Linked DNA regions of Mus musculus: all the other regions are reported to be linked to region 2. The links are microRNA targets in miRTarBase. Many come from high-throughput screens and were not tested one by one. Region 2 holds a microRNA gene; each other region holds the end of a gene's coding sequence.

The links. The annotated mature microRNA mmu-miR-96-5p reads UUUGGCACUAGCACAUUUUUGCU and lies in region 2 at 969-991, shown strand. An mRNA with a match to its seed (bases 2 to 7 or 8) in the 3' UTR can be bound and repressed. Matches are read on the target gene's strand: a 7mer-m8 pairs with bases 2 to 8, a 7mer-A1 pairs with bases 2 to 7 and ends in A, and an 8mer does both.
Region 1: the mRNA of Clic5 is a reported target of mmu-miR-96-5p. Seed matches in the 3' UTR shown: 7mer-A1 at 2,005-2,011.
Region 3: the mRNA of Jkamp is a reported target of mmu-miR-96-5p. Seed matches in the 3' UTR shown: 7mer-A1 at 2,455-2,461.
Region 4: miRTarBase lists Foxq1 as a target of mmu-miR-96-5p. Seed matches in the 3' UTR shown: 8mer at 737-744.

Annotation. Positions count from the first base shown.
Region 1 is chr17:44,275,029-44,278,112 of GRCm38, reverse strand. It overlaps Clic5 (chloride intracellular channel 5), which reads right to left. Exons shown (of 6, transcript NM_172621.2): 6 at 1-2,899. The coding sequence ends at 2,732. Among named protein-coding and RNA genes, the nearest start is that of Clic5, 88 kb to the right of the region's middle.
Region 2 is chr6:30,167,413-30,170,496 of GRCm38, reverse strand. It overlaps Mir96 (microRNA 96), which reads left to right and starts at 946; the gene lies at 946-1,051. All of the region lies in intron 1 of Mirc35hg (microRNA cluster 35, host gene), which reads left to right. Mir183 (microRNA 183) reads left to right here and starts at 760; the gene lies at 760-829.
Region 3 is chr12:72,100,214-72,103,297 of GRCm38, reverse strand. It overlaps Jkamp (JNK1/MAPK8-associated membrane protein), which reads right to left. Exons shown (of 7, transcript NM_024205.2): 7 at 1,771-2,688. The coding sequence ends at 2,470. Ccdc175 (coiled-coil domain containing 175) reads left to right here. Exons shown (of 21, transcript NM_028687.1): 20 at 1,242-1,370; 21 at 1,878-2,006. The coding sequence ends at 1,891. Among named protein-coding and RNA genes, the nearest start is that of Jkamp, 16 kb to the right of the region's middle.
Region 4 is chr13:31,559,908-31,562,991 of GRCm38, forward strand. It overlaps Foxq1 (forkhead box Q1), which reads left to right. Exons shown (of 1, transcript NM_008239.4): 1 at 1-1,069. The coding sequence ends at 212. Among named protein-coding and RNA genes, the nearest start is that of Gm11377, 3.2 kb to the right of the region's middle.

The DNA of each region.
Region 1 (3,084 bases), not on the chromosome of region 2:
AAGAATACACAATAGCTCTGTCAACATAGCTTCCTTTTCTCTGACATCCAAATGCTTCCTGGGGGACTGGCATTTACCGGAATAGCTCTTATCCAGAATTTCTGCAGGTAGAGTCCACACTACAAACCCTTCCACATGGTCTGAGCTGGGACTTGGAACCTCAACACAGGGTGACTGCAGATGGTAAACCATATACATATCAAGGTTAAGACCAAGGTCCAAAGAAACTAGAGCCTCCAGAGAAAACTCTCCTTGGAGGGGGTGGGGTAGGTAATCATCATTGACTTTATTGCTATTTTTTTTACATACTATGATAATTGTGTCCTAAGACATTGGTTAGTCTCATTATAGTTATTTGATAACATTAAAGTTACATCTGCATTAAAGTACTGAGGAAAGCCTCCCATTTACAATCGTGCCTCTCTTTAAAGGGGTTCTGATTGATCCTATAGCATCCAACATTGCCTAAATATTGTGATGTATGTGAAACTAACTCAACCATAGGAGAACCGTCTAGAAACAACATCGACTCGGCTTGGGAAGTTTGTTTTTAAAAGACATGCCGATTGCTGGGCTCAGAGCATCACATGAGGAAAATTCTTCCCCTTCCTCTGAGGCCCCTCAGCATGCACGCTAGTCTTCATATCTTTAACACCAGCCCACCTTTGGAAAATAGGGGTGTGAGCTGCGTGAGTTCACCCTGCCTGCTTGTAAATTCTAGGAAGGATCCCGGAGAACAGCATGGTTTTCTTTTAATTAAACGGCCTTCCGGATGGTTCCGGAAGTTCTGCTTCCCCGAGAGGCCCATTGAGGGCTCTTCCCTGAAGAAAAAAGTGCTGTTCCCTCAGCAGTGCTACACTTTTAAACATCCCCAGGGGTAGCTTATGGAGAGCCCGTGGAAAGGTTCCTGTAGCGATGGAAATGAATCGGCTCATTTTGCCTCTTCAAAGCCCCTTCAGGTTTATAAACTTCTAGCAGGCAGAGTCCTCTTCCCCAGTGGGCTAGGGAGACCTCCTGCTTCCTCCCTCCTTGGATCAATGGTCACTCTTTGCTTTGGAGATCCCTAGAGGCAGGAGGGCTCAGTGACTGCTTGGGTTAAACCATGTTGTATTTCTATGGAAAGGATCTGTGCTGCTCCACCCTCCCGAGCAATGAGCCAAGACCAGGGCCTTACCGGCCCTCAGGAGCCTCGCCTCCACTGTCAGTGACACAGAAGCGGGATTGTTGGAGTTGAGGTCCTGGTGATGGATTTCTTCTAGGCACTCACTAGCTCACTGGTAGAGGAAGAGCTAATGAGTGATTGATTTGTCATAGTTCCTAATCAGCCTAGGTTCTCATGGTCACACCCTGTGAGAGTTGTAGGTAAAACTCAAGGAGAATTACTAAAGAGAGAAATATTAGTTTATAAAGAAATTTTTAAAAAGTTTTCTCTTCCTTGAAAATCTGATAGATGAGCCTGCTGACAGGAAAATGAACCCAAGCCCAAGGCAGTCCATAATTTCCAAATTCAAGTTGTGGCTTCCCAGTCAGAAAGACCCATGGGCTTTCTTCCTAAGGTAGCCCACGATCACACCATTCATTAATAGACTTTCTCTTTCATCAGAGGCTGAGGCTGAAGAAACTGGGAGCCAGGGCACAGGCAGGTGGCAACCCACATCTGCAAGTGACTATGAAGAGCCTGGAAGACATTTTTGGCTGATGTTGGAGTCTGCTCTACAGTTGGTAGGGGTGCCGTAACACCAATCCAAGATTTAGATAATGAGAGAGAAGACTGCTCTAAAAGTTTTCTAGGCTATGTCAAACTCAAATAGAACTTTATTTCCTCCCATCCCTCCACTTCCTTCGCTTGCTCAAACCCAAAGCTACCCACTGAAGAACACAGTCACACACACACACACACACACACACACACACACACACACACACACACACTCTCATGTGATCTCCAGTGGACGACTACTCTTCAGCCAGTGACCCCTGTGGCTGTAGACCCTGTTTGGGCCTTTTGGCATCAATATTGCTTCCCAGAAGTCTCTCCCTATCTGGGTCACCTTGGTTTAGAGTTATAAATCGACTGCCTTTGTGGCAAAATGGAGACAGGAGGAAAACTTGGGTCAGTGCTGGCCAGGATGTAATCATATTGCACCAGAAAACTGGGGTATATTGTGTGTTGGGGGTGTCTCCATCTGGCCCACTGTCAGAAATAGTGAGCATCTGGAACTGTTTTGCTAGAGCCACACCCAGCTGAGTCCCCCCAACCACTGTCTCCCCAATCAAGGCATAGATCTCTCCCTGACGATGATGTATCTGTCCATCACCTTGCATTTGCTGAGGAACGAGGGGAGAGAGAAGCTGGCATTTCAAGTTGTTAGCGCATCTGAGAAAGCATTATGATATTGGCAGAAGGGAACGGTGACAATCCCATGAGAGCTCTGCAAACTGACCCCAGATTCACTGACCCCAGATACACTGACCCTAGATCAGACCAGCAGGTGGAAAAAAAATCTGCCACCGTGTCCTCTGCTTGCCAGGCTCCTGCAGGGCAAGGCAGAAGGATGGCACTGATCTTAGAAGGTAGAAGGCTGGAGTTGAGTTCAGGGGTGCCAGTAAGATGTGGCCTAATTTTTTTTTATGTTTCCCCAAGGCAATGGGGAAGAAGAGTCTGTAGAGCTGAAAGCCATTGGGAGAAGTAGAATTCTTCTGCAGCAGAAATTGGGCCAGACAGCCAAGCTCACGATCGGCTGAGGCGCCTGGCGACATCTGCGTAGGCCAACTCGATCTCACTGTCAGCTGCACAGGTGTTGGTGAACTCGTCCCGTGCATAGGCATTCTTGAGGTATCGCCACAAGCCTGTCATCTCAGCTGGGATGTCATAGTTTCGGTACTTCTTAGCCACAATCTAAGCAAAGATGACAAGAAAATGATGGCATGAAGGCAGGAAACAAAACATTAGGAGGTGTTGGGACCATGGTTTCATGGGTGGCTGTGCATATCAGGTATGTTTGCATACAGCATGGCCAAGAGAAGCTGGGTAGAAAGACTAGCCATATCTGCAAGCTCCCAGGGTCTTGCAAACAAGAGGTC
Region 2 (3,084 bases):
CTTACCCTCCCTCTTTCCTCCATCCCCAGGGCACCTGGTACCAGAGGCAAGGGCCTCCATCCTGCCTTCTCTCGTGGCAGCCGCTGTAGCAACCACTGACGCAACCGCCCCAGCCCTCCCTTGGCTCTGTAGCCTCTACCGTCCTCCAAAGTACTCTCAGAACCTTCCAGAGGCTGCTTCCGAGGGCTCCTGCCAGAAACAGTTCACCCTGGCTCCTTCCGAGCTGCCTCCTTGTCTGAAGGAGCCCCCTGCCCTGATCCTGGCCCTGGTCAAGCCACAAAGGTGCCCATCGGGGACACTTTGCAGTCCTGCCTTCTGGGCCTCTGCTTGTGTCACTGGGCAAGCCAGGACTGCTGGCCTCTGTGCCGAGAGGCCATGAGAAGCACATTGGATGTTCTTGTCACTGCCCACTTGGGAGTAGGTGAGGTCCAGTGCCCTAGGTTATGAGGATCTGGCAACTGCTTGCTGACCTTGGCAGGAAGGTGGCTTGTTTGGGTGATGGTATTGGGATGTGATGGGAAACTCTGCTGCCCTCTGCAAGTCCAAGAAATCAGACTTTCTCCTCACTTGTCCTTGTCTTCTTGAAGGACAATTTGGGCTAGTGCACAACAACGAGCTGGTGAAGAGCTGGTGAGGAGGGTTGCTAAACTGCGGATGACAGCAGTGGGGGTGGGGTGGGGGGAGTAGGTTGTAGGACCTCCAGGAGAAGGCAGCTGACCCCTCTGCAGGGTCTGCAGGCTGGAGAGTGTGACTCCTGTCCTGTGTATGGCACTGGTAGAATTCACTGTGAACAGTCTCAGTCAGTGAATTACCGAAGGGCCATAAACAGAGCAGAGACAGATCCGCGAGCACCTTGGAGCTCCTCACCCCTTTCTGCCTAGACCTCTGTTTCCAGGGGTGCCAGGGTACAAAGACCTCCTCTGCTCCTTCCCCAGAGGGCCTGTTCCAGTACCATCTGCTTGGCCGATTTTGGCACTAGCACATTTTTGCTTGTGTCTCTCCGCTGTGAGCAATCATGTGTAGTGCCAATATGGGAAAAGCGGGCTGCTGCGGCCACGTTCACCTCCCCCGGCATCCCAGGGTCTGTGTGTCTCACTGGCTCCCTGGCCCATCTGGCTTACTGCTGGGTGAGGAGGGTACAGCCCTACCCTGGTGAACAGCCAGATCACCTTTCACTGCCTGAGGCCAGAGTGGAGTCGGAGCTGGGCAATCCGAGCTGGGCCAACAGATGGAGATGCTTGCGGTGGGGGTGGGGGTCGCCATCTGTAGGGCCAGCTTCTGTGATGCCCTGTTGGGCTCCTCCTCCTTAAGGCGAGCCGTCTTTGGGGTCTAGCCTTCTGCTACAGGATTCCAAGGAAGCAATTCCAAGCAATGGGATATCCTGTGCTCAGCATGAGTGTTTTATGAGGGTGGCTGTCCCTAGAGCCTACCATCAGTGGCTTACCTTAGGTCAGTGATGAGAGGGATACTAGTGTGGAGGGCTGGGAATGTTCTGGAAGGCTCAGTTGTGGCCTTTCCATCCACCCACTAGTGTTGGTTTCCTGCATCCTTGGAGTCCCTGTGACTTAATGTCCCTAAGCTGCCCATATATGTGTTATGTAACATTGTGTATGTAAGCTCTGATCTCGAACAGCTGCACCAGTTTGTAAAGAGTCATCTCACAGATGGAGGGACAGGCTGGAGGTCCATTAGTAGTGAAGTAGGGTCGCTACCTCTCTTCAGTCACGACAATGTATTGACCTCCAGTGGCCTTGCTCTGTGGAGAGTGCTCACACACCCCTGCCCCCTGTGGCTGGGTGAATCTTGGCTCTGACCCTTCATATATCCCTGGCCTTCAAAATGAGTTAGATCTGGACCTGGTCCATAGGGCTTAGAAGAGCCCACCCACCAGCCAGGCTCTTGGGTGAAGCCCTGGTGGTTAGCAGGCAGTGAGAGCTGAGCTGACTAAGCTGGTCCACTGACCATCTGGTAGCCATCATATCTGAAGTTACTGGGCCAGCCCCTAATGAGACTGCTTCTCCCTGGGGAAGGGGAACTTCTTGCAAGAGCCAGTTACTCAGTCCAGTTACAGTTAGGTGGCCAAGCTAAAGAGGGCTGGGGCCAGGCCAGGGGAATGTGTACAGTTGAGTCTGGAAGTTAGAGATCAACCAATCCAGTTGACTGCTCACCAGGAACGTGCCTGAGCATCCAGGGCCGCCCGCCTGCTTGGGTGCCCTGAGAGTTGTGTTGGATAGCGAGGACATTTAGACCTACTACTGCCAACTGGGGGCTTCCATAAGTCTCTGGGGTATGGCACTAATGTCCTGTGCAGAAGGCTATCTGAGCACTTGCGGGAAAAGGAAGGACAGGAAGAGACCTCACCGCCTCACCCTGGTGAGGTCTCTGTTTCGGGTCTTGCCTCTGTGAACCCAACTCTGCTCCTGTCCAGCACTCAGGGGGCCACTCAGAGCTGGGTCCCTCTAACCAAAGCAGTCCTCAGACCCCTAGTGGTCCTGCCTCTCACACTGGCCTTGGTGGAGGCTTTGCTGAGACCTCACTAGCAGGTGTTGGTATGGCCCAGTTCTATACTTCTTTCCAGGCTCAGGGCTCCACCCCTCTGGGGCCTGCATTCCCAAAGGATGACCACTGGCCATAGCTTTCTGGTTCTCCTCATCTAGCCTGTTCTCGACCTGGGTGAAAGTTCACCTATAGTAGTGACTGCCGGTGAGCAGAGGCCACAAGGCTGGTTGGACTCCGCAGAAAATCAGCTTCCAGAGGACCATGCTGGTGAGGGTGCGGTAGGAGGGGAGGGCTCACCCTGTCAAGCAGGACCAGTTTCTTCCTGGCTGTCTGATCCTGCGGAAGGATTTACCCTTACCCTCTCAGGGCAGTTGGTGCAGTTTAATCCACTGGGGACCTTCTTATATTGTTCGGGCTCGGTGGCTCCTAGGTGCCTGAGTTGCTGCCTCCTGGGTAGGCTCCTTGCCTCATTGCCTGGTGTTGGGGTTGCCTGGGCCAGCCGCTCCCCAGAGTCCCTGTGAGGTGGATTATTCCAGACTTTCGCCCTTCCCCCACCCCTGCATTTGCTTATTCAATCCAGGCCAT
Region 3 (3,084 bases), not on the chromosome of region 2:
TTGATCAAATAACACATTCCTTGCAGAAAGACCTTTGTAGATCATAACATGCTTTGAGAAACCAATTCTTAGCATGGTCAAAGTGGCCTTTTCATTTTATGATGGAAAAGTGACTCAATACTATTACGCCCATTTTTTTGATCATTTAATTCTGAAAAAATAACTACTTTCAATTTTATAGTTACAGTAAAATTAACATTACAGAGAGTAAAGTGAAATCATTTGTTGAATAATTCAAAGGGTATCGTGAAAACCCCACTGTGCGAGCCCTGCCCCAGGAGGCTGAGGCAGTCTGGATCCAGAGGCTCAAGGTCACCCAGGGTAGGTCATAACAGCCGTAACAAGACTGTCTTGGGAAAGCCACGCCTAACCAAACCAAACCAAACCCAAAATGCCCCTTGGGAAAACTAAGCTCTAGATAAGGGAGACTTGTAGGCCGGTGGTTCTCAACCTTCCACATCTAGGTTAGAAGGAAAAAAAAAAAAAAGAATCCACCTTGAGGCTGCATGCTAGACCAGCTTATCATGAGTATCGGGGTGAGCTCAGGCACATTTTGTTTTTGTTTTTTTTTAATTTCTACATGGCTCCAGTGAGCAGCAAAGTCCTTTAAATTCATAGTTTTGGATAAATTAAACTCATCTAGAAGTCCACATTAAGAGAGTATTTTTGCCTTTCAAATTATTCAGGTCTGAATAGCAAAGTACTCTAGCCTTAAGTTGCAATGTGTCATGAAGACCTCAAACATGATGGACGCTGAACTAGGATGAGAGCTGTTTTACAAATTTTATTATTTATTATTTATTTATTTATTTATTTATTTATGGCCCCAGATGTCCTGAAGCGTGTTCTGTAGACCAAGGCTGGCATTTGATTTTCCAAGCCTGTAGCCCCACCTGCCTCTGCCTCCTGTTTTGCATATTTTTAATAAACACATTTTATCAAACGTTACTAACATGAATAATTAGCGTGGCTATATTAATAACTTTGTTCCCATGAAGTAATTGAGTATCCCTAACAATCTCTGCCTCTGCAGAATTGTAACCTTTTTATCTTATGACTTCTCTTATACAGACTTTTTTTTGCTAGGAGAGGACATAGGAAGGTAACTGTCAAAACAGTTTCAAATGCAGTAGGCTCAGAGGTGGCACATCAGACATGTCACCTCTCACATGTGGATTCTTGGAGCAACTCAGCATTTTAATATTCAGTAATAACCACAAAACCCAATTTTTTTCTTATAGGAAAGAAGCAAAAGAATCAAGAAATACTTCGTTTTTCCCCATCCTCTCATGCTAGGAGACTCACATTAAGCAGGATCTGCAAAATGTTAAAGAAACAATCAAGAAGCCGGAAGAAGAAGCACAGGCCACGTGAGTGCTCTTAAGTTTGTTTTGTAGCATCAGTAGAAGTCTTCAGAGTTGCCATGAGCAGACTCGGGGACTAACTTTTCAAATCACAAATGGATACACATGGCCAGATTTTTGGGCTAAGGGTCTTTGTTTCCATGGCTAGAACATGAGTCTCTCAAAGCCTTCAGATACGAACATGGCCACTTACCCATCCAAAACCAGCCACGGGGACCTTCTATGTATGTCATATTTCACTCTATCTCAGAGACTTCCAGTTATAAGATCCTGACTCAGAAATGTCATGACTGGAAAAAAGTCTCAGGATCAATACAGTGTGGCCTATATATCTTGTTTTAAGAAATTGAATATGAGAGAATGGGAGTGAGCATATTTATTCAGTAGACAGAAGAAATATGAGTCGTAATGCTTAACATTTTTAATTACTTCCATAATCACTGTAGCAAAAAAGAATTATCAGAACATGGAGTTATTTTACAATTAAATTCTTTATTGTTTTCTTCTTTACAGGAACAATAATCTGAACATGTCTTCAACCAAACTGTCTCTAAACAGAAAGTTCGTTATATAAATTATGCTTTATTTTTGAAATATTACTAAACACTGTATTGGTGAAAATAAATAGCCATTGACAAAGACATCCTTTGTTTCTGTTTTTGCCATCACACTCCACAAGCACATCTGCCTTTGTAATTCCTCGAAGGTAATGTATAGACAACAGAAGGCATAATGATGCCACAGCAATTGAGTTCAGAATACACTTGTTAAAGGTTCTTCACAAAAAGCAGGGAGACACCATCAGCACAGGTGTACAAAAACATGGCCGTGCTCCAAAGAGCAATTACCCCTGCCTGTTTGGGCTTCCGGTGTGATAGCTAAGATAGGCAGAGCACAGTAACAGGAGGCCCTGTAGTCTCCAAGTGTAACCACAAGGTCCAATAAATCCAAAGATAAAGCACAAGCATTATAATATCTGGACAATCTTCTTCCCATGTATGAAAGAATGCTATTAATACATTTTAATTCTTCTTTACTTTTTTTTAATGAAGAATACTTTTCGGGATTTTTTTTTTTTTTTTTTTTTTTTTTTGGCATTTTATATTCAATGTCCATTGGCCCCTTCTGAGAGTATCCGTGATGGTTCGGTAAATTTTGCAGTAAACAAGTAAAACAGAGCTGGTGTAGGTACCAAAGCCAAAAGCGGTAGGTCGTGTTCCAGCCTGTCCACTCTGGAGATGGAGACTATGCCATAGGCGTGCAGTAGCCAGTGGCTGAAGAGAACGATAAGTCTTTTCTTCCTGACCAGGAGATCATAGCAGTTCTATGGGATCATTGGAAAGGAAAAGAGAAACAGATTAGCAAACCCAGCTAAACCACTGCTCCTTATACACTCATGGCTGGGACTCTGAAAGCTTGAGCTAAAACGGACTTGAGAGCCCCAGGTCTAGCCATCACACCGTCCACAGGGCCACACAGGCCCTCGGCAGCCATACTTGGCCTAGAGCCCTTCTCTGCATTCTCATCCATGTCACCATTTACTTGGGGAACATAAGCTTCCTGAGATAGACATGAACTAAAGAGGAAGTGTAGAGAGCATGCTCTCTCCATCCAGGCCCACTGCAGTTCCAGAACCCTCACTCCCTGACTCTGAGGTCTCCGGTATCTCCAAGAATCACTGAACCAGTTAGTGTACCTTACCATATCATATGTATTATTC
Region 4 (3,084 bases), not on the chromosome of region 2:
TGGCGTCGCGCGGGACCGAGGTGCAGCCCGCGGCGCCCCTTCTGCTGGCGCCCCTCTCCACCGCGGCTCCAGCCAAGCCATTCCGAGGTCCGGAGACCGCCGGCGCGGCGCACCTGTACTGCCCCCTACGGCTGCCCACGGCCCTGCAGGCGGCAGCGGCCTGCGGTCCCGGTCCGCACCTGTCCTACCCGGTGGAGACTCTGCTAGCTTGACAGGAGCTCTGTGCTCAGCAGAAGGGGTGCTGAGCAGGGTGGAGTTGGGGGCGCCTTTTGTTGAGGAGGTTGGAATGTGGGCTCTAGGGCTGTGCACTTTCCACTTTCCGGAGGAATAGAGTTTTTCTTTTTTTCAACTCTCCATCAAATGTGCCTTAAAGTTAAGCATTTTGACCCAAGTGTTTTAACTTAGTCCAGAATAGTTTCCTTTGTCTTTTGTAACTTTACAGAGGATCAAAGCCGTTCTTTTCCATTTCTTGGCCAGGCCTGTACTCTCCCGCATAGAGGCTTTCCTTTCCCTCCTATTTGCGTCACGCCTTCCACTGATTTACCTTCCCCACCCATAAAAAAGAAAAAGAAAAATACATCAGGGAACCACTCCATGGGGTAAATGATGACTACTGTTTGGGGTTTTGAGACCCCGCTGTGTAAATGTGTGTCTTTCACAGGAGTGACTGCTGCGTGTAAGAGAGCTGTCAATCAAACTTATGGTCATTTTCTTTGCTAACAACCAATGCTTCACTGTGCCAAAAAAAAAAAAAAAGAGGGAAATGTTGTTGGGTTTTTGTAATTAAATTATTTATATATTTTTGAAACCTGAATTGAAATGTTGCAGGCAACGGCTACAGCTTTATTAGTGGTTACCTAACTGTGGTCTTCTTGGGCCAAGCAATTTCTTTAAAGGAAAAGTTAGCATTATGTTTGTGGGGTGCCAGGGCCGCCACCACGAGAAACCGTGTGATTTTTATTTTAATATTATTTGTGTCTGTGTATATATTTGTATATAAATTTTATGAACCCCAGGCATACTGCTTGTTTTTTTAAAAAAAAATAAAACTCAAAATTGATCTACAAAACACTTTGTGATAGTAGATTGGGGTAGATATTTTTACCACTCCCCCACCCCAAAAAAAATGGGTTCAGGCTGGGCGGTGGTGACGCATGCCTTTAATCCCAGCATTTGGGAGGCAAAGGCAGGTGGATTTCTGAGTTCGAGGCCAGCCTGGTCTACAAAGTGAGTTCCAGGACAGCCAGGGCTATACAGAGAAACCCTGCCTCGAAAACAAACAAACAAACAAAAAGTCCTTCATACCGAGATCAAGATATTTGTGGTTTCATTTTCTGCTATTGCTTCACAATGTCTAGGATGTGCCTTCCATTAATAGAATTTCCTAGACTCAAAGACATTCAGGAGTTAGCACAACACATACATCTGCCTATCTCTCTCCTAAGAACCTTTAGCCGGCCAGGTGAGCTGGCAAGGTGAGGTAGCAAACAGCTTTTCGTCAGGTGGACATTTTCAAGTCAGTTGACTGAAGCTGGAAACTTGATCTTGGCGTAAAACTTATTTGGCACACCAAAAATTGCCTTCAGGCAATTTTCAGGGCAACTTGAATGCTAGTGTTTTTTGTTTTTTGTTTTATCAAAACAAAGCTACCTTTTCTTGAACTAAAACAGTTGCTTGGGTGTGAACACTTCTGTGATCTTTCCTGCCATCAGCTGAGATATTATTCGCAAATAAGGACGCTGATTCCTTGGTAAGTTCAAAAGCAACAGGTCCCTAACAGCTCCGTACATTGGAAAAGTCTGAAGTGGTGAGATATTCAGACAGAATATCTGGGCCTCCATGCCAGACAGAAACGTGACCTGAGATCTTAACATTTCATGGAGAAGAAAGCAGTGAGCCTGTTGGAGGATGCTCCTTCTGGGACAGGGATGTAAGAAAGCCTCCAGGGGTTGGAGTTCTCAGTATTCCTCAGAGTGATACTAATGGGTTTGGATTCTTGCAAAAGGTAGACAAAGCTGAAACAAACCAATCAGGAAAGAGAAAGGCAGGTTCCCCTCGTGGAGATTATGTTCAACTGCACGTTCCCAGCAAGCCCTCCATGTCTGAGGGCAGGAGGGTTTATAGCTTGCACAGCCCCCTCTGCCTTCTACCTGACTTCTCTCCAGTTAGGCACCTTATCTGTGCAGGGTGCTGACATCCATGTCCCCATTGGTACTTATTCTTTTCTCTTCCGATGCTGTGTCTTTTGCTGCTCACTGAAATCGCTGTTTGTGTCAAAGAATACAAAAACCAATTTAAAAGGGAAAGGTGGTGTTTTAAAATCACAGCTGTTTCCCCTCCCCCTCTAAAGGAAACCATCCCTCCTAATAAACTGAGCGTCAACACAGGGCTCCCTCCTAAGCCTTTGTCCCCAGGGACTGAAGGGTTTTCGAAGGAATGTTGAGAGTCCCAGACTGGGAGTTTCTGGTCTCAGTTGGGCTTTTCATGGTCAGTTCTATATCCTGTATCTTGCAATGTGTGTGTGTGTGTGTGTGTGTGTGTGTGTGTGTGTGTGTGTGTGTTTCTGGGTGCTAGGCCTCCAGGGAGACAGAACAGCTTCACAGAGCGGGGTGGGGGCCTGTGGAAACACTTTTGTTTCAGGCCACATGGCTTCGAATTTCAGAGACATGGGCCTTCTGTGCTGAAGCTGGTAGGATCAAGTCTGAGCTCAGACCTTCAGACCTGTTGTTGCACCACCCTGATGCTGTGGCTGGTAATGAACTTGGCTAATGGTAAGCCAAGAGCATCCAGTGTTCCGGAGCCTCTGCTGGTTGAGTGAGGTGGGCAGGGCAAATCCACAGCCTCGGGCTCCTTCTAGAACTGATTCTTGACACTCCCACCCCTAGTACCCTACAACAGACACAAAAGCCAAGCTCCCCGCCAGCAAATAAAGGTTCTCCTAGGAGCCCCAGAAAGCTTCCCAGGATTAGCCTCGCTGACCTACGAGCATCAATAAGTAAGCCCTACCCTGTCCACTTGCACTGGCTCCGAAGTTTCACAGGCTGCGTTTTTCTGCCTCTGGGAATGTATATCCACACTCAACAT